Linked DNA regions of Canis lupus familiaris. The protein of the gene in region 2 interacts with the protein of the main gene of each other region in a pairwise test. Links are inferred from orthologs where the notes say so. Each region holds a gene or a part of one and is shown on either strand. Other genes may lie near its edges. The genes, in order: PPP1R12C, C15H1orf109 and MEOX2.

What was found.
Region 1: the proteins of C15H1orf109 (region 2) and PPP1R12C interact in binary tests that used the Homo sapiens proteins (3 or more experiments, as listed by UniProt). The two-hybrid records come from large-scale screens. The link is inferred for Canis lupus familiaris from reciprocal best matches to the Homo sapiens genes AIRIM and PPP1R12C.
Region 3: the proteins of C15H1orf109 (region 2) and MEOX2 interact in binary tests that used the Homo sapiens proteins (3 or more experiments, as listed by UniProt). The two-hybrid records come from large-scale screens. The link is inferred for Canis lupus familiaris from reciprocal best matches to the Homo sapiens genes AIRIM and MEOX2.

Annotation. Positions count from the first base shown.
Region 1 is NC_049222.1:103,278,260-103,281,904, forward strand, and holds part of PPP1R12C (protein phosphatase 1 regulatory subunit 12C), read left to right. Parts: coding exon 1-43; intron 44-294; coding exon 295-453; intron 454-529; coding exon 530-597; intron 598-1,175; coding exon 1,176-1,310; intron 1,311-1,534; coding exon 1,535-1,625; intron 1,626-1,823; coding exon 1,824-1,907; intron 1,908-1,993; coding exon 1,994-2,054; intron 2,055-2,207; coding exon 2,208-2,293; intron 2,294-2,405; coding exon 2,406-2,446; intron 2,447-2,528; coding exon 2,529-2,610; intron 2,611-2,773; coding exon 2,774-2,878; intron 2,879-3,134; coding exon 3,135-3,185; intron 3,186-3,349; coding exon 3,350-3,400; intron 3,401-3,479; coding exon of another isoform or gene 3,480-3,566; exon of another isoform or gene 3,567-3,645. UniProt on the Homo sapiens protein: Regulates myosin phosphatase activity.
Region 2 is NC_049236.1:4,885,509-4,889,669, reverse strand, and holds the start of C15H1orf109 (uncharacterized protein C1orf109 homolog), read right to left. Parts: upstream 2,853-4,161; 5' UTR 2,564-2,852; coding exon 2,289-2,563; intron 468-2,288; coding exon 288-467; intron 1-287. Other genes in the region: CDCA8 (borealin), read left to right, coding at 3,259-3,355, 3,439-3,567. UniProt on the Homo sapiens protein: Part of the 55LCC heterohexameric ATPase complex which is chromatin-associated and promotes replisome proteostasis to maintain replication fork progression and genome stability.
Region 3 is NC_049235.1:30,321,072-30,324,716, forward strand, and holds part of MEOX2 (homeobox protein MOX-2), read right to left. Parts: intron 3,130-3,645; coding exon 2,957-3,129; intron 1-2,956. UniProt on the Homo sapiens protein: Mesodermal transcription factor that plays a key role in somitogenesis and somitogenesis and limb muscle differentiation. Required during limb development for normal appendicular muscle formation and for the normal regulation of myogenic genes.

The DNA.
Region 1 (3,645 bases), on a different chromosome or scaffold from region 2:
TGGAGTGTCTTCCCCGCCACCCTCTAGCCCTCAGAGCCCCAAGGTGAGTCTGGATGTTCTGGATGGTCATGCTGTTTTGGGAGGGGGAGTTGATACCATCAACTGTGCAACCCTCTTCTCAGGGCATGTAGGGTCAAGGTTAGTTTCTAGAGTCTCCAGAGCCATTGACTGTTTTTTTCTGGCTCCACCCTCCAGAGGTTGGTGGGAATTGTGGTTTTTGTGGTCCTTCTGGGGTAACACAGGAAGCCTCTGGAAGGATCTTTTCTCTATAGCCAAGACCTTGCTCTTCCACAGCCCTCAGAGGAGGCTCCCTTCGCCAGGCGCTTTGGCCTCCAGAAGATGGGGAGCTCTAGTACCCTGGGTCCCACAGACAGACGGGAGGCTGAGGGCACCCCTGGGGTGGGGCTACAGCGCTCAGCTTCCTCCTCTTGGCTGGAAGGGACCTCCATTCAGGTGAGTGGAGTGAGGGGCAGGGGACCGAGCCCTGCCTGTTCGAGGAGAATGTTCTCTCCGTTCTCTCTTTACACAGGCCAAGGAGCCCCGTCTTGCCAGAATCACGCCTACACCCTCCCGTAAGGTGCTGGAATCCTCTGCCCTGTGAGTGCCAAGGAAGGGCCTGGGCCTGTCGGGGTAGGGGCTGTATGATCCTGAGCAAGTCCCTTTGCTCTCTGGGATCTCTGCCCTTGGCTGCTCTTTGCCTCAGTTGTCCTCTGGTACATCAAGTAAAAGCTCAGAGTTAAGCTTCCAGGGTCACAGTGACATGACCTCCTGTTGTCTGTGTCTCTCACCCCATCCCTTTCTGACTCCTGCCCCAGGGCCTTTGCTCTGCAACTCCCCAGCTTGCTTCCACTCCCTGCTCAGGTCCTTGTGAGGCCCGCTCTGACCACCTGCTCATGCTACTGCAGTGTCTGCACACACATACTCTCCCACCTCCCACCCCTTCTGTTTCCTTGCTTCAAAGTACTTTGGCCTTCTGGCATGACATGATGAGGGTCTGAGATGACATATGAGGGTTTTTTATGCTTATTGTTTGTTCTGCCTCTTTTCTGTTCATGTTTGACTCATTGGGGCAGAGATGATTTTCATCTTTTGCTCACTGCTGTCTGTATCTCTAGCACCTGCCATGTAACTCAAGCTTAAGTAATAATATTTGCTGGATGAATGAATTCACACAGGTTTGAGATCTCCAGGCGTCCTCCTCTGGATCACTCCACTCCTCCCTCCAGGATTCCGGAGTCTGAATCCCCAGTGAAGCCAAATGTCCCTGTAGCCTCCATAGCGCCCCCAGCTGATTCCCAGGATAGGCGGAGGTGAAGAGGCAGGGGGTGGGAAGCCTCTTTCGCGCCCGCTGGGAAAACCTAGCTGGCCCAGGGCTGTGTCCCCAGGGTCTCGGGCTCCCTACGGGGTTTGTCCCAGGGTTGCTGTGAGTTGGAAGTCCTCTGACAGAACTTACCTTCCCTGAAGGGTGTCAGCGTGGGTGGGACAGGAACGGGCTGCAAAGGAACCCTCCCTGAAGTTGGGACCTTTCACTCAGGTCCTATCAGATGCCTGTGCGGGATGAGGAGTCTGAATCCCAGAGGAAAGCTCGCTCCCGCCTCATGCGCCAGTCTCGGAGGTCCACACAGGTGTGGGGGTGGGCTGGGGCACTGGGCTCCTGGGTCCTGGGAAAGGGGGTTGGGGGCCTGAATTCTTGTGGGTCCTGGGAAGGAGGGGCTGGGGACCAGGACTCCCTGGTCTAAGGGAGGAGGACCTGGGGGCCTGGACTTGGGACCTAAGGGGCTAGCCCTGAGCTCGAGGACCCCTGACTGCTCCCACTCTGCCAGGGTGTGACTCTGACTGACCTGAAGGAAGCCGAGAAGGTAGCAGGGAAGGCCCCAGAGCCAGAGAAGTCATGCCTGCAGAGCCTGGTGAGAGGGGTCAGATGAGCAGGTAGTGGGTGGTATAAGACCCCATGTCCTCTGACCATTCTGACCTCCTTGCCCCTGTCCCCTAGGACCCATCTCGTCGTCCCCGCATCCCTGGGGTGGAGAATTCTGAAGGCCCTGCCCGGAGAGGTGAGGTCTGGTGTCTGGGAGGTGGCTCCTGCCCGCTCCCCTCCCCATCTATCCTGCTGTGCTGTTTTCTTGGGGGGTCAGGCTAGGGACCCTGACAGGGCAGGGAGGGGCCCCTCCACAGGTTTCGGGGCTGATTCCTGCCCCTCCCCCCAGCAGAGGTGCCTGATGGGCAGGGTCAGGGACCACAGGCCGCCAGGGAGCACCGCAAATTCGGCAAGGAGTGGAGGGGGCCTGCAGAGGTGAGTGGGAAGGCCCAGGCGGGGTGAGCTGGGCTATGGGTGGGCCTTGACGGCAGGGTGGTGGGCCAGACTCCCCTCCCGGCATCAGGCTGAACCCCACCTCCGCCCGCAGGGGGAGGAGGCGGAGCCGGCCGACCGCAGCCCAGAGTCCAGGTACAGGGTGGGCAGGGAAGGGTTTGGGTTTGTCTGTAGGGCCGCAGGGAGCCCCATTGATGCCCTGCCCGCCTCCACCCAGCACTTCCGAGGGCGGCCCCTCACCTCGCAGGGTGCAGGACCCCGAGCCAGAATCGGAAGAGCCTGATGGAGGCTTCAGAAAGGTTCGCAGTCCCCTGCCCCAACTGTCAGCCTCTGTCCACCTGCCCTACCGCCCTTTCTCTGTGGCTTAGCCTGCCACCTCCCTGCACCCTGCTATTCAGTGGCCTCGCTGAGCTGTGTGGGACTGGCAGGCCTGACCCTGTCCCCCTCCTGCTGGTCCTTCAGCTGTACTCAGAGCTGCGCAGTGAGAATGAGAGGCTTCGTGAGGCTCTGACTGAGACTACGCTGCGCCTGGCACAGCTCAAGGTGGAGCTAGAGCGAGCCACGCAGGTGAGGTGCTGAGGTCTTGGAGGTGGGCAGGGTGGCGGGGTGGGGCTGAATGATGAGGGATGCCCAGGGGAGCAAGAGCAAGGGGGGATGGGGGAGGCGGGCTGCGGGGGCAGGGCTGGGACCCTTGGGATCAGGGCTGATGATGAGGGACCCAGCCCTCCAGGAGCCTGGACTGCTGTCCCTCTCCCATGCTGATTTCCCCCCTGGTCTTTGTGGTTGGGATGTCTGAGCCTTGTGCTTTCTCTGTTCTCACCAGAGGCAGGAGCGCTTTGCAGAGAGACCGGCCCTTCTGGAGCTGGAGAGATTCGTGAGTGGAGGCAGCTGGGGTGGGGGCCAGATGTGTCACCAGCCTTACAAACCCATGTGGGTCTGAAGGAGGGCACGGTGACCCCCTACCCTTCTCATCCTATTTTGACCGCTGGCCCTCCCTGAACCCCAGACCCTGGGCTTCACCTCTCCTATTTATTCCAGGAGCGCAGGGCCCTGGAGAGAAAGGCAGCTGAGCTTGAGGAGGAGCTAAAGGTGAGGAATTAGGGGGTGCTGTGCACAGTGGGTTCCACTGGCCCAGGGCCACCCTGCTGTGACCCATCCCATCCCACAGGCCCTGTCCGACCTCCGGGCTGACAACCAGAGGCTCAAGGATGAGAACGCAGCCCTGATCCGTGTTATCAGCAAACTCTCTAAGTGACTCTGGAGGAGAACCTTCCCTGTACCCGTATTTATACAGCTGCTTCTGCCACACGCATCCCTTCCCCTGTGTGAGCACG
Region 2 (4,161 bases):
TTTCTTCTACCTGGGACACCCTCTCCCCGAGTATCAACTGGTTCTCTCCCTCATCTTCCTTAGGTCTTTTCTCAAATGTCACTATCTCAGTGAGGCCTCTCCTGACTACCATGTTTAAGATCACAGCCCCACCCTCGCCCTTCGCTTGCCCCGTTTCATTTTTCCCCAAGTTCAAAGACAATGAGAACTGACCTGCACTCTATAGTCGTATGCTCTCGTGAAAACTGAAATGAAAAACTTCCTGAGACAGCTCTGGATGCTGTCTGAAACATATTCGCAAAGGATACGCATTTCGATAGTGTCTCTCAATATCCTGCAACCACTCCAACATGTCAGCCACAGAGGGGCTCACCGCTGAAGCCCGCTGGACAGCATCAATGCCAATCGCGTCTGCGTGCTGCTCATAGACCTCAAACACTTGTTCCACGTGCCTGCTGACAACGTCACGCACCTTGAGGAGGGTAGCTCTGGGGGGAAAAGTCTCACATTAGGCAATACCACGAGAGGACCCTAAGGCAGGGGTCCTCAACCTCAGCACATGCACATTTCAATTTGGACGGTCCCTTGTGGTGGAGAGTTGTTGTCCTGTGCGTGTTAGGATGCTGAGCAGTATCCTCGGCCTCTACCCGCTAGATGAGAGGAGCAAACCACGTCAGGACAATCAATCGGGTCTCCAGACACTGCCAAACGTCCCAGTGGGAAAAACTGCTCTGGGTGCACAGAGAGAGACTACTGCAGATAGGAGAAGTTACTTAACGCTCAATCATGTATAAAAATGGTGTTGCTCACTGCACACCCTAAGTGCTCACAACCCTGAGACTGGCACGTAGAATGACAAACACTTGTTCAATGAATGAATGGAGTGAAACGGTTCTTGGGAGGATCAAATGCAATAATGCTTATAAAGTGCTTAGGGAAGTGCCCAGCTCACAGTGAGCATAATAGTAATAATATTCTTATTATTCCAGGGCGTGATCCTGGAGACCTGGGATCGAGTCCCACATCAGGCCCCCTGCATGGAGCCTGCTTCTCCCTCCGCCTGTGTCTCTGCCTCTCTCTTTGTGTGTCTCATGGATAAATAAATAAAATCTTAAAAAAAGGGGTATCCCTGGGAGGCTCAGTGGTTTAGTGCCTGCCTTCGGCCCAGGTCGTGACCCTGGAGTCCCGGGATCGAGTCCCACGTCGGGCTCCCGGCATGGAGCCTGCTTCTCCCTCTGCCTGTGTCTCTACCTCTCTTTCTCTATGTCTATCATAAATAAATGAATAAATCTTTAAAAAAAATCTTAAAAAAAAAAAACTCTCTCTCTTCTAATCTACAAAGAAACCAAGCCTGGTTCATTGCTATATTCCCACCACCTTGTGCGTGGCTTAATTACAGGTGCTCAGCTCTCTTGTACAAATGACTACAAAGAAGATCCCTGTACTCGACCTGTTCCCGTTAGCCTAGGGCACAGACCGTATACACTGGACACTTATTTTGCTCTAGTCGAGAAAAGGCCTATCCGCGCGGGGTGCCTTTGTCAGGGATGCATTCCCTTGCGATTCTGGCTCAGGTCATGTTGTCATGACGGATCGTGACATGGGAGCCCTGCATGGGGCTCTGCGCCCAGCTGGGAGTCTCCTTGAAATGCTCTCTCTCCCTCTGCCCCTTTCCCCACTTATCCCCTCTCTCTAAAAGGGAAGGGAAGGGAAGAAGGAAGGGAAGGGAGGAAGGAAGGAAAGTAAGGAAGGGAAGGGAAGGAAGGGAAGGAAGGGAAGGGAAGGGAGGAAGTGAGGGAGGAAGGAAAGGAAGGGAAGGGAGGAAGGAAGGGAGGAAGGGAAGGAAGGAGGGCAGACTGCACACTGAGTGCAGAGCCCCAGCGCCGGGCTTGACCTCACCACCTGAGAGCACGACCTGAGCCAAAACCACAGAGCCCAAAGCCCGACTGACCACGCCAGCCAGGTGCCCCTGTAAAACGACTTTGTGACAAGAGGTCCCATTGCGGGGAACCCCCGGGTGGCTCAGCGGGTGAGCATCTGCCTGCAGCCCAGGGCGTGACCCTAGAGACCCAGGATAGAGTCCCACGTCGGGCTCCCTGCGTGGAGCCTGCATCTCCCTCTGCCTGCGTCCCATGCATAAAATCAATCAATCAATCAATCAATCAATAAATCCCATTGCAACAAATGGAGAAGAGGCGAGGCTGCGACACCTCCTTCCCTTCCAGGGAAGGGGAAACCCCCTCTCCGACTGATCCTAGCTGCTTAGGGAGCCCCCGCGTCTCCACCCTCCCGCGCGGAGCTCTTCTTACAGCGTCTCCCCTAGCTTGTCCAACACGTCGTCGCCAGCCTCCAGCTGCTTGCGCCGCAGCCGCTCCCGCAGGCCCGGGAAGGCCCGAAGCGGGGGCGCGTCGTCCAGCCGCGCGACCTGAGCCGCCTGCAGCTGCTCCGCCAGGCTGCCGAGCGCGGCCAGCAGGGGCTGGCAGTCCCCGAGCGCGCCCCGCCAGCGGCGCTGCTGCTCCTGCACGGCGGGGAAGCAGCCCCTCAGGGCCTCCCGCACGGCGAGCAGAGGCTGGTCCTGCGCCATCACCTGCCGGACAAGCCCAGGCCGGCGGGCAGCGCCAGGCGGCCCAGGTGCGAGGGTTCCCGTGCGCAAGCGCCGTGTACCCCCTCCGACCCGGGGGCGGCCCCGCTTTCAGGTCGCAGCGCTGTCCCGAAACCCGGGCCTTGAGCCCGAGTTCTGTCTCCTCCCCTGGCAGCTCCGGTCGCCTTCCCCGAACCGGCGGGAGCCCTGGAAGCCCGCGGCGGCTAAGCGGGGGCGCCCACCGGGGCACCCACGCCCGGCGCTCCCTCGCCGCCTCTCCGCGCATGCTCCAGCGCGGCCGCCGCGGCGCAAACGGAGGTCGCAACGCGCGATGCCTTCTGGGGGCTGTAGTCCTACGGGCGGAGCGTCCTTGTGATTGGATGTTGCGGGAGCCTCCCAAGACGGCGACTTCTGATTCGTCAGCCGGTGGCGGTTTGAATTCGGCGGCGGCGGCTGCACGTCGGGTTCTGCAAGGAGCTGCTCCGTCCTTGCGGCTGCGGAGGCGGGGGTTCTCTTGGACGCTTTCGGCGACCCGCATGTACGTGCCCCGCGCCTCGTTTAAGCTCGGGCCTCCCCGGGGCAGCCTGTGCCCCCCGCTCGCCCCTTAGGGCGCCCGCCCGGCCTCTCCCGCGACCTCGGCCGCTGACCGCCCCCCCCCCCCACGCCCCGGGGGCGCCCGCAGCCTCCACCCAAGCGCCATGGCTCCGGCTAGGAAGGGCGGCAGTCGGGTGGCCAAGACCAGCTCCTTGCGGAGCCGGAAGCTCGCCTCCTTTCTTCGGGACTTCGACCGGGAAGGTAGGGGGCGCAGCCGGGGTGCGGGCGGGGTGGGGTGCGGGGCCCCGGGCCCCGGTTCACCCGCCCGTGTGCCCTGCCCGCAGTGCAAATACGGTCCAAGCAGATCCAGTCGGACACACAGAACCTCCTCAAGGAGATGGACAACCTGTACAACATCGAGATCCTGCGGCTCCCCAAGGCGCTGCGCGAGATGAACTGGCTCGACTACTTCGGTAAGAGCCGCTCGCGTCCCCAGGCCTCGGCCGGCGGTGATCACCCCCGCCCCCCGCCCCCCTGCGCTGCTTATTGCACTTCCCTGCTTCACCTGTCTGCACAGGACTCTGACGTCATCTGCCCCGCAGGTAGGCAGGCAGGCAGGCAGGCAGGCAGGCAGGCATCCATCCCCTCTAAAGGACCCCATACTGAATTCTTGAAGCTTTGCAGCTACTCAATTCAAGCTGTTCTAGGCCCAAAACTGCTGGATTGAACAGGTGCATGTATGTGTTCCAGGAAAACGTTACTTAGGGACGCACAGAAATGTGAAATTTGTGTGCATTTTTTGTGTCACAAAACGCTCTCTCTCACTTGCTCGCTCTCTCTCTCTTTTTTTTTTTTTTTTGGATAGTTTATCCAGTCGCTTAAAAACGGATACCTGAATAACTTGGTTCGTTAACCAGAGCTCAGATGGTTGGAGAACCCTAAGCCGTACTTTCTGCATCTCATGGAAACCGTCAGTTAAAAAAAAAAAAAGGGCAAATCAGATTGTGAAGCGCAAGGACTCAAGTTTTTCTGGCCAGCAGAAAACTGCAGCCTGTTCTCTGGCCCCC
Region 3 (3,645 bases), on a different chromosome or scaffold from region 2:
TTTTTGCTTCTTCCAAGAGTTCTAGCAGAGACTCGTCTAGCTTATTTTAGCAAGATTTTATTTCTAGCATCTAGCTCAACAAATATTTGTGCTACAAAATAATTAATTCACTATGCCTTGAATGGCAAAAAGTTTTCCTTCCTCTGATTGACAGTTGTGTTTTTCAGTTTATGCTAGAAATTCTTTCATATTCATTATAACACATAAACCTGAGTAGAAGCAAGAGAAGTTAGCTTTAATTTCCATTTTGTGACTTAGGGAGATTGTTACTTGCCTAAGAATCCAAATTCCAATGGAAAATCTAGTTGTTCTATTCAAATTTTTATCATAATAATTCAATTTTTCTCACTGTCACATAGTGGCCCTCTGAAGACTTAACTTTGACTAGGAATTTAGATTCCACATGTATGCATCTCCTTTTCATATTAATCTGAAAAACTGGAAATAAAGATTTATAGGATAAAAAAATCTTCACGATATAAAATTTCAATTCTTTCAAAATCCAATTATATCTCAAGATTTGTTTGTTTGTTTTTTCCCCTATGACACTATAGTTAGATCATTTCGGTAACGGCCTCCAGCAAATGTCACCTTCCTTCCATATATCCATTCCTTAAATGGTCTCCTTCTACATTGACACTGTGCTTGGTCATATGACTTGCTTTAGACAATGAGTCATCAGTAAATATGAGATAACGAGAGTCCTTGAAAGCCTTGGTCCATTGGAGTTTTTCTTCTATTCCTGACAATGCTTCTATCCCCATTTGAAAAGTCTCAGAGAGCCTATTAGAAGAAAATGAAACCACATACAACAGAGACAAATGTCCCAGCTGAGACTATTTAAACCAACCAGCTCTTCAAACCCAAACCCGCCACGTGACTACAGCTCTATGGGAGATTTAGGTAAGGTAAGCAGCTTAACCATCCAACTGAGCCCAGTCAAAATCCCCGACCCACAAAACTGTGAGCAAATTGAATGTCGGTTATTAGTTGAAACCACTATGATTTTTGAATGTTTGTTACATAGTCAAGGCTAACTGATAACAAAATTGAAAAGGGACCTTTGATAAACAAAAACAAAGATTAGAATTGTATGTGTGTGTATTTTGCTTAAAATTACATATCATCCTTTTCCATAAATGACAACTCAGGAAGACATATCCAAAATACCTAAAAAATTGCCAGACCAAATTTATAGAATTGCTTTTCTAAAAGAAATTATTTTAAACCATAAGGGAAACTTCTGCTTTATAATCAGATAATCACAGGTAACCAAAGCCATCCCCAGAATAGCAAGCACAGAATCTTCACATTCCCTCTTGGCTAAGAGTATAGTACTGCATCCCATTATTTCTATAGCTTGGAAACAAGTCTTAGCTTGTTTCCTTTTTGTACCATAGAAAACATGGTTGCATTTCCTAGAATTCACTGTCTATGGATAAGAACATTAAAATATGTAATTCTTTCCCTCCCTTCTTTTTTTATCTGCTCCCAGTTTAAAAAAAATGAAAATAAAACAGATGTCCAATAATGTAGATTTTGGATTCTCCTTTCCAGCATGCCAAATGTTGTACACTTATGGAGAGGAGTTTGTCTGTGAAGTTCAAGGGAAAGAAAATGTTGTGCTTCACAACTTAGGCACTAGTCATAATATTTAATAAAATATAAACTGCCAATAAATAAAACCACATAAAAGTGTCTCTCTCTATATTCCCAATCCCCAGAAATACCCTACAAAAGCTGAAATCCAGAAATTAACAGAAGGAAAGCAGATGATTTAAGAAACTGGATAAAATAACTTGCTCTCCTAAGATAGTATTCATACGTCCACACCCTGTTGGTATTTCTTTGGTTCTGATGGGATCCCTGGAGGAGGTGCATACAGTGAAAGGAAATGAGACTCTAGTCCTAGGAGTGCCAATCATAACTGCACTGTCCATAAAGATGTTTGGATTTGCCTTTCAGGAATGTTTTCCTAAAGATTAGCAACTGTTAACCATCAGTAAGCTAGATTCTCCCAGGGCAAATCAGAATCCATAAAAAGAATGCACTGGGAGCACTACTGGAGCAAGTAAAATCCAAGAAAGGACCTTTTAGGTTTTATCAACTGGAGTCCACAGATCGTTCATAATTGCAAAGTGTTCTCTAAATGAGTCAATGTCAGAAATTTAAATTTTTGAGACCAATATCAGTTCAAAAATATTTGGGAAATATTTACGAAAGACCTATGGGCCCTTGCTCCCATCATTTCCCAGCCCCCCTTGAACTTAAGTGGCACCACGGATGATTTCCGGACCTTGGAGTATAAATGGAAGTGACATGGGTCATTTCCGGGTGAAAACATTTAAAGGTCAGTGCATGAACCTCCACCTCTTTCTTACCTCCTGTGGTTACCAAGGACACCACATGTTGAGATGCCAGAGAGTCAGCCTGGGTCCGTGAGTGACTGATTGTTTATAATGCTGAACTTGTAAAGTTAGTATGGAGAGTGAGCAAATAGTGAACTTTTTTGTTATGTCATGGAGGTCCGGGGGTTAATGTGTTACAGCAACATAGCAAACCCTGTCCTGAGCAATAGAGGAAACTAATATGGGGTTGCTGGCTTTCTATTATACCAAAATAAGGAGATTTTAAAATATAAGCAAAAAAGAATTGCTCACTATATGCCATCATTATATACAAGAAATACTATTTTAAACCAAAATATATAGGAAGGACACAAATACAGAATAAAGAATGATACCTTAAACTGAATAAATGTAGTTTTCCTTAAAAACACTGCTATCTTATCCTTAATTTTGCCATTTTGCCGTGCCAAAACTTCATCATGGAACAGAACACCTATCTTACAAATGGCATTTAAGAACCACAGATCTAGATATTTCAAAAATGGCGAGAGAAGATTGTTGACTCAACACAATTAAAAATACCATATCACAACAATGTCCAACTTTACCTGTCTTTCAGTGAGATCCAGATTCACTGCTATCTCATATCGCCTCAGTCTGGTCAGATAATTATGATGGGCAAATTCTGCTTCAAGTTCTCTGATTTGCTCTTTGGTAAAAGCTGTCCTTTCCTTCCTGGGTTTGCTATTGACTTCTGACTTGTAATTTCCTTCCTGGGAATCTGGGGGGAATGTAAGAGAGAATTAAATTGACTTTATTCATTCAAATGCATACAATCATATCATTCATACCAGAAGCATTTACTGAATAACTACTTTTTCAGGTACTATGTTAGATATGGAGAAACAGAGAGCAAAGACAGAAGACTGATCTCACAACAGGATAAGATACATTTCTTACTTTTTCGATCTGCTCTCCTGTGACTCAGCCTAATTGGCAAAGTGTCTAATATTCTTTCAAAATATGAACAAAAAATGTATTTGCTCTTAATATGATAAAAAGATAAATAAATAAACCACCTCTAGAAAACAATTTCGGATGTAAAATTGCGTTTAATAAGTTGTTTAATATGTATACTTGGGATCTAGGTATGATTGAACTCTTTAATTCCTAAGAAAAAAAGTGTTGACTTAATATGTGAATATTTAAGCAATTTGAATGTTTAGCAACTGGACCATAAAAGTCAGTTCAAGGTCAGACAAAGCATACATAAAAGTGTGTGTGTATTTACTGACTT